Arabidopsis thaliana: one gene and its partners. The protein of the gene in region 2 interacts with the protein of the main gene of each other region in a biochemical or structural test. Each region holds a gene or a part of one and is shown on either strand. Other genes may lie near its edges. The genes, in order: DREB2C, ABF2, ARIA and DREB2A.

The links.
Region 1: the proteins of ABF2 (region 2) and DREB2C form a complex in vitro, tested with the Arabidopsis thaliana proteins (one study listed by BioGRID).
Region 3: the proteins of ABF2 (region 2) and ARIA form a complex in vitro, tested with the Arabidopsis thaliana proteins (one study listed by BioGRID).
Region 4: the proteins of ABF2 (region 2) and DREB2A form a complex in vitro, tested with the Arabidopsis thaliana proteins (one study listed by BioGRID).

Annotation. Positions count from the first base shown.
Region 1 is NC_003071.7:16,847,863-16,852,146, reverse strand, and holds DREB2C (Integrase-type DNA-binding superfamily protein), read left to right. Parts: upstream 1-1,659; 5' UTR 1,660-1,789; coding exon of another isoform or gene 1,790-1,812; exon of another isoform or gene 1,813-2,293; 5' UTR 2,294-2,296; coding exon 2,297-2,340; exon of another isoform or gene 2,341-2,479; coding exon 2,480-3,482; 3' UTR 3,483-3,758; downstream 3,759-4,284. Other genes in the region: AT2G40350 (Integrase-type DNA-binding superfamily protein), read left to right, coding at 87-552. UniProt on the Arabidopsis thaliana protein: Transcriptional activator that binds specifically to the DNA sequence 5'-[AG]CCGAC-3'. Binding to the C-repeat/DRE element mediates high salinity- and abscisic acid-inducible transcription.
Region 2 is NC_003070.9:17,164,611-17,169,408, reverse strand, and holds ABF2 (abscisic acid responsive elements-binding factor 2), read left to right. Parts: upstream 1-1,519; 5' UTR 1,520-1,636; intron 1,637-1,667; exon of another isoform or gene 1,668-1,927; 5' UTR 1,928-1,948; coding exon 1,949-3,067; coding exon of another isoform or gene 3,068-3,220; exon of another isoform or gene 3,221-3,339; coding exon of another isoform or gene 3,340-3,384; exon of another isoform or gene 3,385-3,626; coding exon 3,627-3,698; intron 3,699-3,778; coding exon 3,779-3,808; intron 3,809-3,914; coding exon 3,915-3,989; 3' UTR 3,990-4,251; downstream 4,252-4,798. UniProt on the Arabidopsis thaliana protein: Involved in ABA and stress responses and acts as a positive component of glucose signal transduction. Functions as a transcriptional activator in the ABA-inducible expression of rd29B.
Region 3 is NC_003076.8:6,507,047-6,514,784, reverse strand, and holds ARIA (ARM repeat protein interacting with ABF2), read left to right. Parts: upstream 1-1,983; 5' UTR 1,984-2,083; coding exon 2,084-2,336; intron 2,337-2,418; coding exon of another isoform or gene 2,419-2,421; coding exon 2,422-2,579; intron 2,580-2,771; coding exon 2,772-2,944; intron 2,945-3,027; coding exon 3,028-3,148; intron 3,149-3,215; coding exon 3,216-3,290; intron 3,291-3,381; coding exon 3,382-3,476; intron 3,477-3,642; coding exon 3,643-3,718; intron 3,719-3,935; coding exon 3,936-4,043; intron 4,044-4,464; coding exon 4,465-4,593; intron 4,594-4,685; coding exon 4,686-4,754; intron 4,755-4,903; coding exon 4,904-4,963; intron 4,964-5,117; coding exon 5,118-5,241; intron 5,242-5,365; coding exon 5,366-5,505; intron 5,506-5,588; coding exon 5,589-5,652; intron 5,653-5,733; coding exon 5,734-5,813; intron 5,814-5,987; coding exon 5,988-6,052; intron 6,053-6,171; coding exon 6,172-6,289; intron 6,290-6,338; coding exon of another isoform or gene 6,339-6,378; coding exon 6,379-6,503; intron 6,504-6,590; and 3 more. UniProt on the Arabidopsis thaliana protein: May act as a substrate-specific adapter of an E3 ubiquitin-protein ligase complex (CUL3-RBX1-BTB) which mediates the ubiquitination and subsequent proteasomal degradation of target proteins.
Region 4 is NC_003076.8:1,600,253-1,604,659, reverse strand, and holds DREB2A (DRE-binding protein 2A), read right to left. Parts: upstream 2,456-4,407; 5' UTR 2,291-2,455; intron 2,034-2,290; 5' UTR 2,011-2,033; coding exon 1,003-2,010; 3' UTR 621-1,002; downstream 1-620. Other genes in the region: AT5G05420 (FKBP-like peptidyl-prolyl cis-trans isomerase family protein), read left to right, coding at 1-10, 90-177, 267-308, 397-445, 542-620; AT5G05400 (LRR and NB-ARC domains-containing disease resistance protein), read left to right, coding at 4,291-4,407. UniProt on the Arabidopsis thaliana protein: Transcriptional activator that binds specifically to the DNA sequence 5'-[AG]CCGAC-3'. Binding to the C-repeat/DRE element mediates high salinity- and dehydration-inducible transcription.

The DNA of each region.
Region 1 (4,284 bases), on a different chromosome or scaffold from region 2:
TTTAAATCTTGTTAAGAGAAAAAATGGGACTTGCTTCTGTGCCCAATAGTTCACGAGCATGTTGCTAATCTTGCTTCTATGCCCAGGAAACGGAAGTCTCGTGGAACACGAGATGTAGCTGAGATTCTAAGGAAATGGAGAGAGTACAATGAGCAGACCGAGGCAGATTCTTGCATCGATGGTGGTGGTTCAAAACCAATCCGAAAGGCTCCTCCAAAACGTTCGAGGAAGGGTTGTATGAAAGGTAAAGGTGGACCTGAAAATGGGATTTGTGACTATACAGGAGTTAGACAGAGGACATGGGGTAAATGGGTTGCTGAGATCCGTGAGCCAGGCCGAGGTGCTAAGTTATGGCTCGGTACTTTCTCTAGTTCATATGAAGCTGCATTGGCTTATGATGAGGCTTCCAAAGCTATTTACGGTCAGTCTGCCCGACTCAATCTTCCACTGCTGCCACTGTGTCAGGCTCGGTTACTGCATTTTCTGATGAATCTGAAGTTTGTGCACGTGAGGATACAAATGCAAGATCTGGTTTTGGTCAGGTCAGACTAGAGGATTGTATTGATGAATATGTTCTCCTAGATAGTTCTAGTGTATTGTTAATCGTAGTTGACTATTGTGAGGTCTTAAGTTGTAGATTGAAAATGAGATAGCTCATATGGAGCTTTATTGAAATGCAAGAAAGTAAACAAAGGAAGATCTTTAGATTGTCACCAAGAGTGGTCTGAAACTCTCATAACACTCAATCCTCCTCCTCCTCATCACCACCACTACAAAATATTATATTCTCTATCTCTCAATCTATGAGGAGATGTATTCTATCAAGCATTTGAAATGATAAGAAACTGGCGATCATCCTCTACGTCACCATCACTCCAAAATTATCCTCTTTCTAGGTTTAAGTTTTGTAATGATCGCCTTTATTTGTTGAGATCTCTAACTTCTCGCATTTCCAAAATGTTAAGTCCAATAACTGCATTGGTTAAGTTGGGGCGTTACTAGTCGGCTTAAATCCAAATATGGATTTGATTCCATATGTATGTGACAGTTTCTTAACGTTCATATTACAATGAATGATGGATCCTTGACTAGACAAAGAGAAAATGGATTGTCACTTCGTAGGAAAAATAGAAATTCTCCACGAAGGCTGGTCTCCTTTATTTAACGACAAATTCACTCATAGTCTCATTCACAATTTGAACTTGTCTAACACAATGTGTTATATACTCGCGAAAAGAAGCATAATAGGCTCTTAAGGGTAATCCACGAAACCAAAACACATATAAAACATTAATATTTTTCTCTAAATTTATTCATATCAATAATAAAGTTTACAAAAAATATAAAACAATAATCCATACTTAGCCCATAGCTTCGTGTGGAAGAAGACTTGATTTTTGACTAGTCAACGAAAATGAGTAAATGACGTATTCAGCTATAGTAAAAGGGATCATAAGCGGAAATTACAAAGAAGCTTTGAGGGTAAAATAGTCAAAAAGCATAATCAGAAATAACTTAGGCCCAAAGCAAAAAGGAAAGGACTCTGGATCCAGCCGCAAATCAGAATCTGGTAAGTTCGAACGCCACGTCATCACCTAAATATCTGAAATATCTAATTAAGACTTGTCTATATATAAAGGCTTCTCCTTTCACAATCCCAAACCTTTCTCTTCTCTGCTAACGAGAAAACAAAAGCTATCGTCTTTGCTACTACTACTACTACTATTATTACATTGAATCCTTTGTGTTCTTCTTCTTCAGCTGCTACTTTGTTCGAGTGCTTTCTTACATGCCGTCGGAGATTGTTGACAGGTTTGTTTGTTACATTTTTCGATTTTTCTCCGTTTTTTTTCCTCTCTTCTGTATGTTTGCTAAATGTGATTGTTCATTGTTAGGGTTTAAGATTTTCTTTTTATCGATTTTTGTTGTTTTGTGTGTATATCCTCCAAGTTCCTTTGTTTGTGTAATAGGTGGAAGCTGAAAGGTTTTTCAATTTTAGGGTTTTTGGGGTTTTTTGTTGACTGAAATTTGTTAATTTGGGGCACAATTTGTCTCTTTTGGATTGAGTTCTGTGCGATTTGTGGATTCTAGTTCGTGTGTGGTTAAGAGACTTGGAAATTAGAGGATTTTTAGCTAAAATAATCGTTAAAGGTGGTACCTTTCCTGATACAGAAGTTAGATTATGGATTCTATGTTGAATCTTTAGGTGATTCTCTGTTTCTGAGTTTGCTCTGTTCTAGTTTCTTAATCTGTTCGTGATGGAGTTTCTTTCTTGCTCGCTGTGATGCTGCAGATTATGAAAACTTCTTCTTGTAGCTACTTCGGTGTAATTACGTTCAGGTGGTTAAAAATTGTTTCTTTGAAAGGTGCTTTGATCCGAAGTATAGTTGAACCTGTTGCTTGAAATTTTGTGAAGAGAGAAAATTGGAGTTCTCGAGCATGTTGCTAATCTTGCTTCTATCCCCTTTGATTCTACCAGGAAAAGGAAGTCTCGTGGAACACGAGATGTAGCTGAGATTCTAAGGCAATGGAGAGAGTACAATGAGCAGATTGAGGCAGAATCTTGTATCGATGGTGGTGGTCCAAAATCAATCCGAAAGCCTCCTCCAAAAGGTTCGAGGAAGGGTTGTATGAAAGGTAAAGGTGGACCTGAAAACGGGATTTGTGACTATAGAGGAGTTAGACAGAGGAGATGGGGTAAATGGGTTGCTGAGATCCGTGAGCCAGACGGAGGTGCTAGGTTGTGGCTCGGTACTTTCTCCAGTTCATATGAAGCTGCATTGGCTTATGACGAGGCGGCCAAAGCTATATATGGTCAGTCTGCCAGACTCAATCTTCCCGAGATCACAAATCGCTCTTCTTCGACTGCTGCCACTGCCACTGTGTCAGGCTCGGTTACTGCATTTTCTGATGAATCTGAAGTTTGTGCACGTGAGGATACAAATGCAAGTTCAGGTTTTGGTCAGGTGAAACTAGAGGATTGTAGCGATGAATATGTTCTCTTAGATAGTTCTCAGTGTATTAAAGAGGAGCTGAAAGGAAAAGAGGAAGTGAGGGAAGAACATAACTTGGCTGTTGGTTTTGGAATTGGACAGGACTCGAAAAGGGAGACTTTGGATGCTTGGTTGATGGGAAATGGCAATGAACAAGAACCATTGGAGTTTGGTGTGGATGAAACGTTTGATATTAATGAGCTATTGGGTATATTAAACGACAACAATGTGTCTGGTCAAGAGACAATGCAGTATCAAGTGGATAGACACCCAAATTTCAGTTACCAAACGCAGTTTCCAAATTCTAACTTGCTCGGGAGCCTCAACCCTATGGAGATTGCTCAACCAGGAGTTGATTATGGATGTCCTTATGTGCAGCCCAGTGATATGGAGAACTATGGTATTGATTTAGACCATCGCAGGTTCAATGATCTTGACATACAGGACTTGGATTTTGGAGGAGACAAAGATGTTCATGGATCTACATAAGATTTCAAATTTCGTTTGACTGGCCTAAGTTTGTGATTCTGCTCCGAGACGGTGTAGCTGTTACTAGCTAGAAGCTGCCCTTCTTTGAAGCTACTGATACTTTCTGATATTAATGGTTGTGAGACGTAGTACATGTAGTTAGGTAATGTAGGACAAGTTCAAATATGATTCCTTCTTTCTTTTTCTTGTGAATACATATGACATATGAAGAAGTTCAAACGTTGGGTTTAGAAAAAGTTTATAACATTCGGTACATATCAAAGTTTTGAACTTCGGATGCATATAAGCTATAAAGTTTTGATCTTTGAACTTTGGATACTCTCACATCTAATTTTCATCCTTAAGAATGGAGATGGAATAATGCGATGTTGCGTAGTGGTTTTATTGACTTGGCAAGTTTTGATTATTCAAGAAACTTGGCTTAGTTTAATGGAAATATCCAGTAGTGGAGTTTTTTGGTCTGCAGACTTTCCTCAGGTTGTCTGAGATTACATAAGCAATGAGGTATGAATAATAAAGTTATCATTAGAGAGTTATCTATCTGTATTTTCTACAAAAGGCAAATTGGGTATTTGAAAGTGCAAATGGGACATAGTTGTATATTATTTAAAAGGCTTTAACTATTCCATTCTGGTCTCCAAAATCGTTTTTCTTGCTCGAATCTTGAAGATCTTCTAAGCCTTTAGAAAAATGAAGAAATCAAGTTGGCAAACTGTTAATTAATTAAATCCAATGAATTGGTGGGTATTGCACCTCCACAAGTTCCCTTTGACAATGTGTCCTCTTCTCCGCAAGAATGAGA
Region 2 (4,798 bases):
AAAAAAAAACACTACTATAATTAGTGAATTGAGAGTATTATTGTCCTTGTATTTAATTTTTAAACGTAAAAAATAATAAGATGGGTTTGATAATGTGAAGGTGAGCCCAACTAAAAACTAGAGACGTGGACCAATGGAAAAAAAGTAAGAAGACTCTTTGGTTTCTGACATCTTCCCCCACAAAACACAAAGTCGATGTGAAAGCAAATAATAGTGTTCGTCCACGTTACATCGACAATCAACGGCTGAGATTTGGTTTCATTATGTGTCTGTCTCATCGAGGTTGGTTCGTGTTTTTGTTTTTGTTGGTTGTGACAGTAATGGAGCGACACGTTATTTCGTTACAACTACTTTTTTCTTTTTTAAAACTTTTGTAATCAGAGGACTAAAGAAGTAAGTGGACCGATCATAAATAACAAACTCAGGTGATTGATTATTGGACCTTTGTCACTTCAGGATGGAGAAGCGTTTTCAATTCACCGGTGAAATAAAATATTAGCTGATTTTTTTAAAAAGAATTAAGGTTTTGAATGGATATTGTGGATAAATCGGATTAAAATTTGGAATTATACCAATATTTTCTTTTTTAACGAACATTTTGATTGGTAAACTTTAATCCATTTTGATATGTAAACTTTCTGAGAAGTTTTAGGACTATACCCATATATAATACCAATTTTTTATGTAAGAACTATATGAATTATTTTGTATATAGAGTTTTTTTTTCTTTTTGTTTTGTATATACCACTACAAATTATAATTTTGTGAATGATAAATAAGAAGTTGTCTAATCTACAAACCCATTTTGTTCTCCAACCACCGCAACCATGTGTACCTAAACAAATAAATATTAATTGGTTAATTAGCACAATTGTTAGAGTGAAATTATTATCTCGAATCCGATATAAAGAATTTGTCACTATTCTTTCCAAAATTTCCGATATTCAAAGTGTTGAGATCAATAGTAAAAATTTGAATCCGTCCAAATTGATTTAAATACAATTTTAAAGTTTACATACCCAAAAATCATTTGGTTTCTCTCAAAATATTTAAATATTTAGATATTACTTGGAAATCTGGGTAGTAACAATTTGGATTTGTCCAAGCAACATTTGGATCTAGATATCATAATTTCCAAGTCAACATATCCAAATTCGCCAGATATAATATTAATATATATATATATATATGTAAAATACAATATTTTCATTTCTTTTCTAGTATATAATACTTTATTTTCATAAACATAATCCAATCTTAATTTTACAATTTTAAAGACGTTTTAACATTTTAATTTATTGTGTAGATACAATGATTTTTGGACGGAATTCCAAAGTGAAAACAACTTATTTTAGGAACCTAAAGTAAATTAAAACAACATAAATCCTGAAAAGGAAAACAATTAGTAAGTGAAATTAGTAAAATAAAAACGAAGAGGGAAAGTGACGCAAAATACAAAGATACAGAGTATATACCATTTTATTAAAATAATTAGCAAAAGTAGTATTTATTCAAGATTGTTAGGAGCCAGAGAGACACTTGGCTCACCAGACAAACTACCTAATCACCCAAACGAAGAACCAAACATTTTGAAATTTTTTGGGAAAATTACAAAGCACACGAATTTAGCAAAAAGGTAATAGATTTTTCTTCTCTTTGTGTGTATAGAAGAAACTGTGGTTTTTGTTCATCTTCTTTTAATTCTTTCGATTTATGTCCACACTTAATTTTTGGATAAAATTACTAATTGTGCCTAATACTTGTCATAAACGCATTCATATTCTCCTGTTGGTTTAATCTGTTTTTATCCATTTGACTATTAAAGTTTTGAAATCTGTTAGTGTTTTTGAATTGGGTTTTGCAGATTTCTTGATTTTTATTTATAGATTAGGGTTCTGATACTAAAGTTTGGATTTTTAAACTAAAGTTTGGATTTTTTTTTGTATTCATGGTTCAGATCCAGTTATTAGGTGGAAGCAGATTTTGTAGAAAAATGGATGGTAGTATGAATTTGGGGAATGAGCCACCAGGAGATGGTGGTGGAGGTGGAGGGTTGACTAGACAAGGTTCGATATACTCGTTGACGTTTGATGAGTTTCAGAGCAGTGTAGGGAAAGATTTTGGGTCAATGAACATGGATGAGTTGTTAAAGAATATATGGAGTGCTGAAGAAACACAAGCCATGGCTAGTGGTGTGGTTCCAGTTCTTGGTGGAGGTCAAGAGGGTTTGCAGCTGCAGAGGCAAGGCTCGTTGACTCTGCCTCGAACGCTTAGTCAGAAGACGGTTGATCAAGTTTGGAAAGATCTATCCAAAGTTGGAAGTAGTGGAGTAGGGGGAAGTAACTTGTCTCAGGTGGCTCAGGCTCAGAGTCAGAGTCAGAGTCAGAGGCAGCAAACATTAGGTGAAGTAACTTTGGAGGAGTTTTTGGTTCGTGCTGGTGTTGTGAGAGAGGAAGCTCAGGTTGCTGCAAGAGCTCAGATTGCTGAGAACAATAAAGGCGGTTACTTTGGTAATGATGCCAACACAGGTTTCTCTGTCGAGTTTCAGCAGCCTTCTCCACGAGTTGTTGCCGCTGGTGTAATGGGAAATCTTGGTGCAGAGACTGCAAATTCTTTGCAGGTTCAAGGTTCTAGTTTGCCTCTGAATGTGAATGGAGCTAGAACAACATACCAGCAATCGCAACAGCAACAGCCAATCATGCCTAAGCAGCCTGGTTTTGGTTATGGAACACAAATGGGTCAGCTTAATAGTCCTGGGATAAGAGGTGGTGGTCTTGTGGGACTTGGAGATCAGTCTTTAACGAACAATGTGGGCTTTGTCCAAGGTGCTTCTGCTGCAATTCCTGGAGCTTTAGGCGTTGGTGCTGTGTCGCCTGTTACGCCATTGTCATCAGAAGGGATAGGGAAGAGTAATGGTGATTCTTCATCACTCTCTCCGTCTCCTTACATGTTTAATGGTGGTGTGAGAGGTAGAAAGAGTGGCACTGTGGAGAAAGTTGTAGAGAGAAGGCAAAGGAGAATGATAAAGAACCGAGAATCAGCTGCAAGGTCCCGGGCCAGGAAACAGGTTAATCTCTTCATCACCATCTATCTATGTACTCTTGATTGTGTTATAAGCCAAAAGATATGTAAAGTAAATTGGTTAGCTTATCTTGTAGTTAAGTTCTTTAACCACAATGAAGCGTTGAATTCAAAGCGTAAAGTGTCTTGTGTGAAGTAGTGTAGTAAACAACTAAACAGAATTATTGGGACTTGAAATCAGTACTTGTGGCTGAATGAATCTCGCAAACAAATATGAACCTTCTGGTTTTGGTGTATATACATGTTGCCCATCCGCAGATATTCACGGCAGACCAAACAATATACTGGAATGTAATTTGCTAATGTCATGAGGTGGCTCAGAGTTTAAATGAGTAGTGAGGGTTCATCGTCAAAACCTGAGTAGTGGCGACATGGTTTTTCTTTTGGGGCAAGGTAATGGGTAATTGGTGCTCCCAAAAACCTGTTACATCTGACATGTACTATGACCAAACTGTTGAGTTCTACATTTGAGGGTCTAAATGTTTTGAATGGCACTCTAGTCTTTATCTCATAAGCTTCTCAGTCGTGCTTGTTTTGGTTCATAGGCTTACACCGTGGAGCTTGAAGCTGAAGTTGCAAAGTTAAAGGAAGAGAATGACGAGTTACAACGAAAGCAGGTAATCACAAAACCATGTCTCAGCATCACAGTTGCTCATACGTTACATTCATTTCTCATTGTACGCCTCATGTTTTACAGGCAAGGATCATGGAAATGCAAAAGAATCAGGTAATAATTCTTATGCCAATGCAACAACACTGGAATCTCTAAACTGCACATTTCATAGCTGAACTTGTAAACTTGGTTGTTTGTTTCCGTGCTATGTATAAAACAGGAGACGGAGATGAGGAATCTTCTGCAAGGAGGTCCAAAGAAAAAGCTGAGGAGGACAGAGTCGGGACCTTGGTGAATCAATCAATGCCATCATACTTAGTTTCTGTAGATAAATGACATCCCACTTAGGTGTTTTAGTTGAATTAGACTTAATAGAGAAGAGCTTTCATCGTTTATATTGTAAGCTCTCTCCATATATGTTATGTTTTTTACATACACAGGATCATCAGAATCTCTTTTGCTTTATTTAGACCAAGAATTTTGTGTGTGTTTCTCGTTGTTGTTTGTCGTTGTCGCTATTAAACCTCAAAATGTACTTTCTTGATCTTGGAGTTACCAATTTTGAAGAATTGAAGTGTTGTTTGGTTTCTCTGAGTGCCAAAACTATGACCTGTGCCAACACAGCATTCTAGCCTTCTAGGCAAGCGACTATAACCCAAACCGAACCGAACCTTGGTCATTTCGGACGGATGAGGTAACCGAGTCGGTTTGATGTGGTTCACTGAACCGACAGTTACACAAAGTAAACATTTGTACTGAAATTTATGTATGTATCAAAGTAAAATTCCTCTAAATTCGATAACCAAACCAAACGGGATTAATCATTTGCATGGAGAATAAATACATAACCGAACCAATTTAACCGATGACCGAATCGAACCAAAACCGACTTATTCGGTTTGATTTTTTAGTTACTAAAAATGAAAGTGTTCACTCTCATTCTCTCCCACTTCGTCGCTCAAATTCTCCCTAATTTCACCTGCAAAACCCTAGTTTTTCGTTGATTCGTTTCGTCTCCGGTGTAAAATCAAATACTATCTTTAGGTATTTCGTCTTACCCAACTCTATCTTTCCATGTTTTCCGAGGACAAAATAAAAGGTTAA
Region 3 (7,738 bases), on a different chromosome or scaffold from region 2:
CAATCTTTGACGTATTCGTTAGATCTGTATATGACTTCAATCATGATAATGCCACGCTGTCTTCTTTCACTACACTAAAAAATACAGCAAAGAATGGATGGACAAACAAAAACACTATAAACGAGTCTATACACTGTCTTAGCCTGGGATCACTATTTTCTTTTTCTTTGTACTCATCTTAAGATGAAACCTACACTAACTCCGAGTCTATAGAAATACGAGTTTTCTTGCCACTTAAAATGTCTACATGTAGTCAAGCGGAACGATGAGATACAGTTTCTCACTTGAAAGGATTATTGGCCTAGACCAACATGAAGCAGAGCGAAACCACTCGCCATCTACCAGTTTGTGACGAATGTAACTTAAGATATCTAACTTCACACACATGCTATAAAAGAAGCAAAAACTTAAATCATGTTGTGTCATGTGAAAAAAGAATTTTACTGTTCTTGTTTAAGCAATTTGGAACGACTAATGTCTTTGTTCGTAGTTCAACGTTAAGGTGAGATATAATATAACTCTTATCGGATGGGTGAAACCCACTAGGAAGTTTTGTGACTTAGCTAAGATCAAGTCTTGGTTTCTCAAGAAGATTGCTTGGAACTTGGCCCGGTTAGACTATAGTTTTGTATGATTCTAAAACACAGGAAACAAACATATATAAGTATATAACAATCTCAATGGTCTGGCATGTGATTCGGAGAAGGTTCAGGGTTTAGGTAAGGTCAGAGAGCAGAAGGTGTTGACCCTCTGGTCCGGCCGGAGATCAAAAACGAAGAGCGAGTCAAAGAGAGGTCCTTTGACCTTTTCTCTCTCCGTTAATTCCATTGCGGCTGACGTGGGAATTTCATGCCTATATGGCCCAGCAACGAGACCTGGCTCATGATCAGGCCCATTATTTTCGAAAATCTTCTATTGGACACTCCACATTATATCATCTTGATTGGGTTACAAAACAAATATATTATTTATGTGAAATGTAAAATAAAATAAAAAAATTGCAAGTAACATGTATATCATTATATATTGATACTTTTATAAGAAAAAAATGTATATATGGATACCAGCTAGCTTCACACATCACTACATAGCATCACACACATCACTACCTAGGCATTTGCCCACTTTAGACCTCACAATAATTATTTCTTATGATCTCATAGTGAATCAATCACATTTTTACAAACACAAATAATAAGATACATGCTCTATTGCTCTTGAGAGAGGCACAAAAAGAGATATGCTGCTGAATTCCATATATCATAATGAGCTATGATTCTATGAATAAACCTTTTATTTTCTTCCACTTTATCGTTTGTTCTCGCTTTTTTTTTTCCCCTTTGTTTGTTCAAAGCATGCTCGTGCCTCCGAAGTTTTGATTTCATGTGGTCACCATATATAAAGAAATAGTTCCTTTTATCTTCTCAAATTAAAGAAATAGTTCTTTCTTCTCTCTTTGATATTTTTATTCACACTTTCAAACACGTCTCCTTTGTGGCAGACCACCCAAAAGTTCAAAAGCCTTACTATTACTTATTTTTATTATTATTGATACCAACTAATAATGACTATAAACCATCAACAATAAGTTTTTAGTTGTTGCAATAAAACTGCACAACCTCGAGGTGGGAGTGGGACAATATCTTTTCAGTTCCGGTACGCCCAAGTTAGCAAATCGGCACCACCAGTGAGGAGCGCAAATTAGCACTATGTCGCTAGAAAAACATTTCAATATATATATATATATATATATATATTTGTCTAAAAACATTTCAATATATAAACAATCAAAAATGTAAACGAAAAATTAAAAACGTTTCAATTATACATTCTTTGGACATTAATAAGAAAGATCATTTATGTCTAATACTCTAATCCCAAGTACGAATTTGTTTTTTTCTTTTCTTACAATTTAAACTAGAAATACAAAATAAAAATAAAATAAAGGGTTTTTATTTGTGAGTCGAATGAAATAACGAAAATACCCCTGATCTCTTTTGTGCCTGAGATTGATTTCAAAACGCTGCTTCTTCTTCTTCTCTGATCTCTCCTCTTCTTCGGATCGTCTTTTACTTTGTGAACGATGGACCAACAACCGGAGAGGCGAGAAGGCCGGAGTTTTCCGGAGCGTAAAGGACAGAAGCGGAAGCTAGAGGAAGGAGCCGCCGCCGTAGAAGATCGAGAGATCTCTGCCGTCAGCACCGACGGAGGCCAAGCGCTTCTTAGCGAGGTTGCTGCTCAAGTCTCGGTACTAAACTCTGCCTTCTCTTGGCAAGAGTCCGATCGCGCTGCTGCCAAGCGAGCCACTCAAGTTCTGGCTGAGCTAGCCAAAAACGGTGAAAATCAGCTTCCGATCTTACTCCTTTTTCTCCGGTTTCTTCATATTTTGTTGCATGACTAGTGACCTTTGATGTTCAGCAGAGGATTTAGTGAACGTGATTGTCGACGGAGGTGCTGTTCCAGCTCTTATGACGCATCTACAGGCGCCACCATACAACGACGGGGACTTGGCTGAGAAGCCGTACGAACACGAAGTTGAGAAGGGAAGCGCTTTTGCGCTTGGTCTTCTTGCTATTAAGGTTGTGATCCTCATTTTCTCTATGTCAGCTCCTTGTATAGTGTGTTTAGCTTGTTAGAAAGTAGTTTCCTTTTTTGTTTTGTTGATCCAAATCAATTTTTTTTAAGGCAAAATTTTGGTAATTGAACTCTTATACACGGAGGGGATTATGTATTGTTTGTGTGATCGTGTTGTGGAATTGATTTCTTAACAGCCAGAGTATCAGAAACTGATAGTAGACAAAGGTGCCTTACCTCATTTAGTGAATTTGTTGAAGAGAAACAAAGATGGTTCTAGCTCTCGAGCTGTGAATAGTGTTATCAGAAGAGCGGCTGATGCCATCACCAATCTTGCTCATGAGAACAGCAGTATCAAGACCCGTGTTAGGTCAGCATATTTAAGTGGTTTTCTCCTTTCGAGATTTGTTTTCAGTACAACTCTATCCTCTTGACTTCCAGTTTGACAAACAGGGTAGAAGGCGGTATTCCACCTCTCGTGGAGTTGCTTGAATTTTCTGATTCAAAGGTCCAGAGAGCAGCAGCAGGGGCATTGAGAACCCTTGCATTTAAAAATGATGATAACAAGAATCAGGTAAATATTGCTATCTTACAGCTTCTACTTAGATTTAGCCGGAGCATGATAATTATTTTCTTTGCAGATAGTTGAATGCAATGCTCTTCCCACACTTATTCTAATGCTAGGATCAGAGGATGCTGCTATACATTATGAAGCGGTTAGGAATCTTTTTATAATCAACTGTTTTGCTACTTATTTATCTATGTGGGATTGACGTTGAAATAACCAGTTGAGTCATGCTTTTTAAGGTTGGAGTTATAGGCAATCTAGTACACTCGTCTCCACACATTAAAAAAGAGGTTCTTACTGCCGGGGCGTTGCAACCTGTCATTGGTCTTCTTAGGTATGTGGACCCTCACCATTTTGATATACATGGTTGATGGTTCAGCATAGAGTTGTTATGACTTTGGCTAGAGCTGAAATCTTACCAGCTTCTCTATTGTTGAGGTTTTTATTTCGCTGTTAACCCCAAGTTCATTCTTTTGATTTCTTGAATTTTTCTTTTACAGCTCCTGTTGCCCTGAGAGTCAAAGAGAGGCGGCTTTATTACTTGGGCAGTTTGCCTCAACTGATTCTGATTGTAAGGTACAATTTCATCCCAGGTTTTTTTATCCTCAGCTCTTTTTCCATTCCCGAAAGCCTTATATCTTTTTTTGTTTGGTTATACGAAGTGATAAGTTGTTTGTTTCTGTTGATTTGTAGAACATACCTTCCCATTTCTCACTAATTCTACCATTTTCCCTGATTTATATAGGTTTGTTTTGTTCATTCTTCACTTCATGCTCAAATTATAACTTTGCAGGTGCACATTGTGCAAAGGGGTGCTGTCCGTCCTTTAATTGAGATGCTTCAGTCCCCGGATGTCCAGTTGAAGGAAATGTCGGCCTTTGCACTGGGTAGATTGGCACAGGTTCTTCTTTTAAAACTTTTGGTAGTTCGGTTATGAAAGTGTACGCATTCCCATTTGAGTGTTGTGAAATAGTAACTTCACGCTTTAGATGTTACCTCTTCTTACTTCCAGATCAAACATTTGATACCACAACTGTTATTAATTTGTAGCTTTTGTTTCTTAGTGTTTTCAAATAATTCCTAGTGATCCTGGATAATTTGCTGTTGCCTTGATTGTCAACTGTTTTCTTATTGGTTACTTCAAGATTGGTTTGATTTTAAATTTATAGATGCTAAAAAAGCTGGCTTCCATGGTTGTGGAAGATGGGTATTCTTATTGTGTTTCTAAATCTGTTTTCATTAGGGGGAACTTTTAAGTAGTGAGTTATATTAAATAATAAAACCGATGTGTCTTTTGATTTCTAGCATACTCTTTCTTGCAGGATGCCCACAATCAAGCTGGTATTGCCCATAGTGGTGGTTTAGGACCTTTATTGAAGCTTCTCGATTCAAGAAATGGATCATTGCAACACAATGCTGCATTTGCTCTTTATGGCCTTGCCGATAATGAGGTGTGCTGTATGCTACTTTCGGTTTATTCATTATGCAGAATTTGATGGTAAACGTCGGTAAATGGGTTATTGATCCATTTTTCTTCCCCTAGGATAATGTGTCAGATTTTATCAGGGTGGGAGGTATCCAAAAGCTACAGGATGGAGAGTTTATTGTTCAAGTATGTATGGCGTTGCCACTCTTCCTCTACTTTACAGAACCACATTGTCATACTCCTTTATTGGCTAGATACTGAAGTTTCTTAGCAGCTTTAATCGTATTTTTTTACTCTTCCCCTTAAGGTGTTTATAATATATCATGATTTTTTAGGCAACTAAAGATTGTGTTTCCAAAACACTAAAGAGATTGGAGGAGAAGATTCATGGAAGAGTAAGTGAAACTATACTTTTCTTTAATTCTTTTTTTTTTTCCATCTTTGATGACTAAAACTGCTTTATCCTGGTTGAGTTTCTGAAGCTCTGTTGAAGTTTAGCATTTCTTTATTCAACCTTTGAGATTTCTGTGCTTTGATTTTCTTTTGTAGGTTCTGAGACATCTGTTGTACCTAATGCGCATTTCAGAGAAGTCTATCCAAAGACGAGTTGCTCTTGCCCTTGCTCATCTCTGTTCACCCGAGGATCAACGAACCATATTCATAGATGACAACGGCATGTGACAGTTTTTTTATATTTTCATGAGCTAAATGAGATGCATGCGTTATGTTTAATGCGTTAACCGTCCAGTTTAGATGTTCTTTGTCCAAAAAGTTAATATTGAGTTGTCTTTTGACAGGGTTGGAGTTGCTACTCGGTCTTCTTGGTTCTTTAAACACTAAGCAGCAACTTGACGGTGCAGCAGCGTTGTACAAATTAGCAAATAAATCTATGGCACTTTCTCCAGTTGATGCTGCTCCTCCTTCTCCAACACAAAGGGTGAGTTTCCTTTCTGCTTCAGTTCTCCTATAGGTAACGGGTGGAAGTCTCAATGCAGTATTCTGTATGTCTTTTTGTGACAGGTTTATCTCGGAGAGCAATATGTAAATAATGCTACGCTGTCTGATGTAACCTTTCTAGTCGAAGGTAATCATATATAAATCCAGAAGTTGTGGAACTCTAGTTAGCTTCAAAGTCCATATGTAAAACAGAAAAATCATACTGCAGGAAGGACATTCTATGCACACAGAATTTGTCTGCTGGCATCCTCAGATGCATTTCGTGCAATGTTTGATGGTGGTTACAGAGTAAGTGAACTAAATATTTTGGTTTTTCGATAATGTTCTTGTGGGGTAAATGATATTTTGATGACAATGACGTATGGATGTATGCTGGTCTGCTATTTATCAAAGGAATACAATTATCTTTTGGGGAAATTAGACCTGAATTGTGTCACGGTTTGTGTTTCGTTTATATCACAGGAAAAAGACGCTAGAGATATTGAGATTCCAAATATCAAATGGGAGGTGTTTGAGTTAATGATGAGGTATGATGAATGAACCTCTGCATGCTTTTGATTGACTCACTCGAGATATTGAAATTTCGAAAAGTCTGTGAGAACTTTTCATATACACGTAATTGACTCCCTTGGATTATGATTTTCAGGTTTATATACACTGGATCTGTCGACATAACAAATGAGATATCAAAAGATCTTCTAAGAGCAGCGGATCAGTATCTCTTGGAGGGCCTGAAACGACTCTGTGAATACACAATTGCTCAGGTGAGCCAGAATTATATCACAATGTAAAGTGATGATGTGGTTTGCGTAGTACTTAACGAAATCTGACACGGTTACTTTGAATATGAAAGGATATTACGTTGGAAAGTATAGGAGACATGTACGAGCTATCAGAAGCATTCCATGCGATGTCGCTGAGGCAAGCTTGTATCATGTTCATCCTGGAGCATTTCGATAAACTGAGTTCAATGCCTTGGTAATATAAACAAGATGTCACTCTCTCTCTCCACTAAGATTTGTTTTATTGCTATTAGTCTGAAACAAAAGTGAATGGAAAATGCAGGCAGAACGAGCTGGTGCAGAGAACAATACCAGAGATAAGAGAGTACTTTTGTAGAGCCCTAACAAAGTCTACTACAAACCTGCAAAGCTTGAGGTTGTAGAATGCGGAAGAAGAAGACTGCACTTAACTAGAGGTAAGTAGACAAGGAATTATATAGAGAGAAAGAGAGAGAGAGATCAAGAGCCGCCATTAGAGGTCTTTATCGTCCTGTACTGGGTTGTCTTAGTTATTTGCTGTGCTTTTTGGTTCGTTTTGGTCATTTTGTATTGTATTAATTAATCTCCTCTGATCACAATCGGTCTTGAATGAAATCGCTACCCTTTGTATCCAAAAATACCATTGTGGTATAACTTCCACTATTCAATTCAAAATCCACTCTCCAACTATCCTCTCTGTTGAGAAAAGATACTTTGGGTAGGTTGTGACTAAGCGTAGCTGTAACGATTTGATATTGGTAGTGGTGACCAGTGAGTTCATGTCTGAATAATTAAGAGATGATTCAACACAGAACATAATATCCCATTTTTGTTTTACAAATAAAGAATCAATCGAAAGTATTACTGATGATTAGAGACTGTAACTTGTAAGTATTTTGTAGCACAAGCCACTGAAAATTACATTACACATAAAGGAGTTTTCTTTAACATGAAAGATTCAAAATTACCAGGTTGGTTCTAATTAATTACGTTTTCTTCCAAAGTGATTAATTACTCAAGTCACGATGAATTATTAACCTTTCTCTTTTTTTTTTTTTTTAAATTAGTCTATAGAGACTTTTGGTTCAACGAACGTAGGAGGGAGTTTTAAAGAGCTCCGGTGAAGGAGAAACCCTAAAAACACACTCGATTTTGCAGCCAGAGAGAGTCTCAGAGCTCCGAGATTCAGACAATCTTCATCGGTCCGGTACGCTTTTCATTTCCGTTTATTCTCATCGCAAACGGATAATTATTTGTCTGATCCGATTTTACCCTGTGATTAAGCACCGATGTTCCTTCCTCGTAGTTGGTGATTTAATGCTTCTTCTCGAAACTATCCACTTATAGGATCTCCGATCTTTACGAGATTACTCTCCTTAATCTCTGTTATTGATTTAGTCACAGCATTTTCTGATTTATCAATTAGTTATTCCTTTGGGCTCAATGTTAATC
Region 4 (4,407 bases), on a different chromosome or scaffold from region 2:
TGGCAAAAGGGTATGAGCATTTAGTCCTAAACTGTTGTAGTTTGTGTGCAAATATTTGTTGGAGGTCAGTCTATTGTCTCTGAGTGCAGGTAAGTGTCCATTATACTGGAAAGCTTCAGGGGAATGGGAAGATTTTCGATTCCACCGTTGGAAAATCACGTTATAAGTTTCGTCTAGGTTGGTATTATAACTTGATGCGAAAGTAAGAGCTTTATTAATGTGTGAGTGGTACTTGGATACTTATGTGCTTGCTGTTACACATACAGATGCTGGAAAAGTCATTAAGGGATTGGATGTTGGCCTTAATGGTAACCTAGCTAGTTTCTTACTGGTTTTTCTTCACTAAATATGGTCAAATGGTGTGTTGTTTTGATCTCTTTTTGTAAATTTCTAAAGGAATGCTTGTTGGTGGCAAAAGAAAGCTTACAATTCCTCCAGAAATGGGGTAAAGCCTTTGCAAATCTTTTTTTATTTTTCCATAATGTGATGTTTTATTTTAAGCTTTTTTTAATGAGAGATGATAAAATTGTCTGGCTCACAGGTATGGTGCGGAAGGTGCTGGTAGCATTCCCCCTGACTCTTGGCTGGTCTTTGATGTCGAGCTGCTTAATGTTAAATAAAGCTGCCCTCTAATCCCTAGAGAACTTCCTAAGACTCAATCCAATGATGAGTTTTTTTGTGGAGATCGTATAGTTTTTCCTCTTACGATTTCAAATATTGTGAGACACACTAAGGCCCATAAAGCTTCACAAGTGTGTATTATTCATTCCTGTTGTTACAAAACATAAAACATATCTAAAGAACAACTTAAGAGAAGCAGACTAACAAACTATAGTTGTCTTCTCTATTGTCATATCACTGTTTCGATATATACAGTTCACCTTTATAACAAGAAAAAACGTGTTCTGTAGTTCTCTATATCACTAAAACTCGGATAGAGAATCAACAGTCGTTGTGGGATTAAGGCAAATATCAAATCCAAAAAGCTTCATATTGTTTTGTTTAGTTCTCCAGATCCAAGTAACTCAAGTCGTCGAAGAATCCATTACCATCCTTTCCCTCGAGCTGAAACGGAGGTATTCCGTAGTTGAGGCTTTGTAGCGGATCAAAACCACTTTGTTGACTCTCGGGCCTGTATGAACCGTTGGCAACACTGTTCCCCGGGTACCGGTCCTGATTTAAGCCTGCAAACACATCGTCGCCATTTAGGTCACGTAGAAGCTCATCGACATCAAACATGTCTGAAGAATCCAAGTGACTCTGATCCACATCATTGGGCCAACCATAGTCTGCAACAGATAGCGAATCCTGCTGTTGTTGCTGACAGGTTTCTACAATCCCTTGCTCCTTCTGTTTCTCTTTCTCTTTCAGAATATCACTCCAATAGTTATGTTCAAACTCGCTCAGCCAATGCTTATCCGCTTTAACACCTCTCTTCATCTCTTCCGCACCATTCTCCAGACAATACATCGGCTCCACTCCACCGGAGAAGGGTTTAGATTCACAATCTGGATCCTCTGTTTTCACATGAACACAACCAGGAGTCTCAACAGTACACACCTCAGACTGACTTGAGGTACTCGTAACCTCAGACGCATCAGACCGAGGGAAATTAAGACGAGCCAAAGGACCATACATAGCTTTAGCAGCCTCATCATAAGCAGAAGCAGCTTCTTGAGCAGTAGGGAAAGTACCAAGCCAAAGCCTGCTACCTCGATTAGGCTCTCTGATCTCAGCAACCCATTTACCCCAAATCCTTTGCCTAACTCCTCTGAAACTACATCGGCTATTCTCTGGTCCTCCTTTACCTTTCATACAACCCTTCTTCGACCCTTTCGCAGGTACTTTCCTCTTCTTGGTAGAAACTTCTTCTACGGTCTCGTTATACTCTTTCCATCTCTTTAATCTCTCAGCCACAGTAGTACCGTCACCTCTACTTCTAGATTTCCTTTTCCTCGATGTATCAATTTGTGTTCTGTTTCTATCTCCACTCTGATCATAAACTGCCATCTCCTTCCCAGAAACAACACAATCTACAATACAACAACACTTCAATATCAGAACACAAGCTGAAACATAAGGCAAGAGAACTTAAACTTGGTTCAAAATCAGATCGATTTACTTATTTGTTATCAAATTAGGAACACCTAAAATTTCCCAATTTCACAGCTATACCTAAAAGGAAATAATCGAAAACCTAAAGACGAAGATAAACCCTAGAATCACCAATTGACGAGACCTAATCAGAGAAATTAATTGAAAATTTGTAAGAAATCAGAAATCAACGTACCTATAGGGGACGAAATTTGAAAATCAAAGTCTCTTCCTTCGAGTTGATAAATCGCTTTCGTGTTTAGTCTTCTTGCTCGTATCTTTTCTTCTTCTTCTTGTGTGTAGCTTTTTCGAGTTTTCCTCTTCTTTTTATCAGACAGCTTTAGCAGAAATCAAAATATCTAAGGAAGACAAAGTATCTACGGAGTATTTATAGCCTTCTCTAGATTTTTCTAACATTATTTTATTTTTCTGTTTGAGAGCAAGGTTACGTGTCAGTTTTTGATTCGAACATAAAGGCTTAGACGACTTTTCCGTTCGACGAGTGTCCTCCCGAATCTTCTCGAAACACGCTGTTGATACGGAAAAGTAAAGTTTAAACCTTTTTAAAATTGATTTATGGATAAGATCATAAAACTACTTCATTATTTAAATATTATGAAATTTTAAAATATCTTCATTTTTTTTTTATTAACCCTGACAACACAACACTGTCTCATCTGCTCTTTCTCGATTTTTCTTGGTTTATTGCCAGTTTGCCACTGCATCACACTTACTAGATGTGTAATTGGATGATGATGTTTATTGCCTGTTTTTCTAGTTTTTACAAACGTGCACATTATTCAATTTTGTTTTGATGAGATACTTATCGTTTATATAGATATTTTTAAAAAGATCACGGTTAATATTGTAAAATTAAAGGTTTCCGGTGTACGTACGACATAGAGCGAATTCATAAATGTGTCAGCCAGAAATGTCTTAAACATGAAGTATTAGTTTAAAGTTTAAGCATTAAGTATTAGCTAGAGACGTGTCAAATGGTGAAGCTCAAACTTGGGTGGCTTAGCTTCGAGCAGAGGTGATAGGGTCCATTACCTTATAAAATTTGGGAATCGCAAGTTGTAGCAAAGCAGCAGTCATTTATAGCCTTTGCATGTGCCTCATGTGTCCTTTGCTAACCAAAGCCACTTCATCCACTACGTGTCTCTAACGGCATCGCTAACGTAAGCTCACGCAATTGCCTACGTACTTCAACCTCATGGGCCTTAGTTACTTAACATCCATTATCAAACCCATTGCCTACGTGATACAATCCCATGTGCCTCAGTTAATTAACATCCATTATCAAACCCTTAAAGCCCGTTAATCTAAATTAGCCCATTGGATGGGTGTCGTCCATTTTATTTCTACCGTCGGTGTTGCTACTATCTCGCTATCTCAAGCACGATCGGGTGAGCATCTTCTAGTCTAGTCGATTGAGCCTACAAGTTTCTATCTTCTGGATCTATATGAAATTTCAGTTTGTTTGTTTTTTTTTTCGCTGAAGAGAAATTTCAGTTTTTATTGGTCTAAATAAGGCATGAATTTGGAAATCTGTATCTACGAGTTGGTTTCTTCGCTGTAATGCTTGTTTGTTTTTGGTTTAGTGAACAACATTTGGATGATAAATTATTTGTGCGGAAAAAGCTGCAAGATGATGCCATGATGGCAACACTAATTTTGTTGCTGACTGTAGACTCTCTTTTCTTCGACGACCGTGAGAAGAGCTCTGTAAGTTTGGCTTCTTTCTTTCCATATTAGTATGAATAGGTTATTCGCGTGGCTATGAATCATTCAGCATTGTCTAAGGCCTAGGATCGATAGGGAGGAACGCATTCATTACAATGATTTAGGTTATCGATTACAAAACCATTATTGGAAAACGAGATGTAAGTAAAATGTTGACTTGGCTTGGCCAAACCACGTTAGAATTGTGTTAAGAAAAAACGAGCACATAGTGCTCACTAAACTTGGCTCTGTTAACATCCCAAGGGTCGTTGACCTTATGAAAAAAATGTTATCTTGGTTACAGTTCATTTTTAAAATAACATAAATATTTGATCGAGTCGTAGATGACTGGATGCCAAGATTGGTGGTCAACCCGAATGATCGTGCACACACCTCAGTTAATAAACTAAAACATTAGGAAAGGAATTTGTATATTAATCTCTCTGGTAGGAATTTGAGAATCTATGAGAGATGGGAGCCTGCTTCTCTGTGGCAATATCCTGTGACCAGGCTGTTAATAACCTTACAAGCTGCCTTAGCAGGAACCAAAATCGCTTCCGCAACCTCGTAGATCATGTAGCGGCTCTA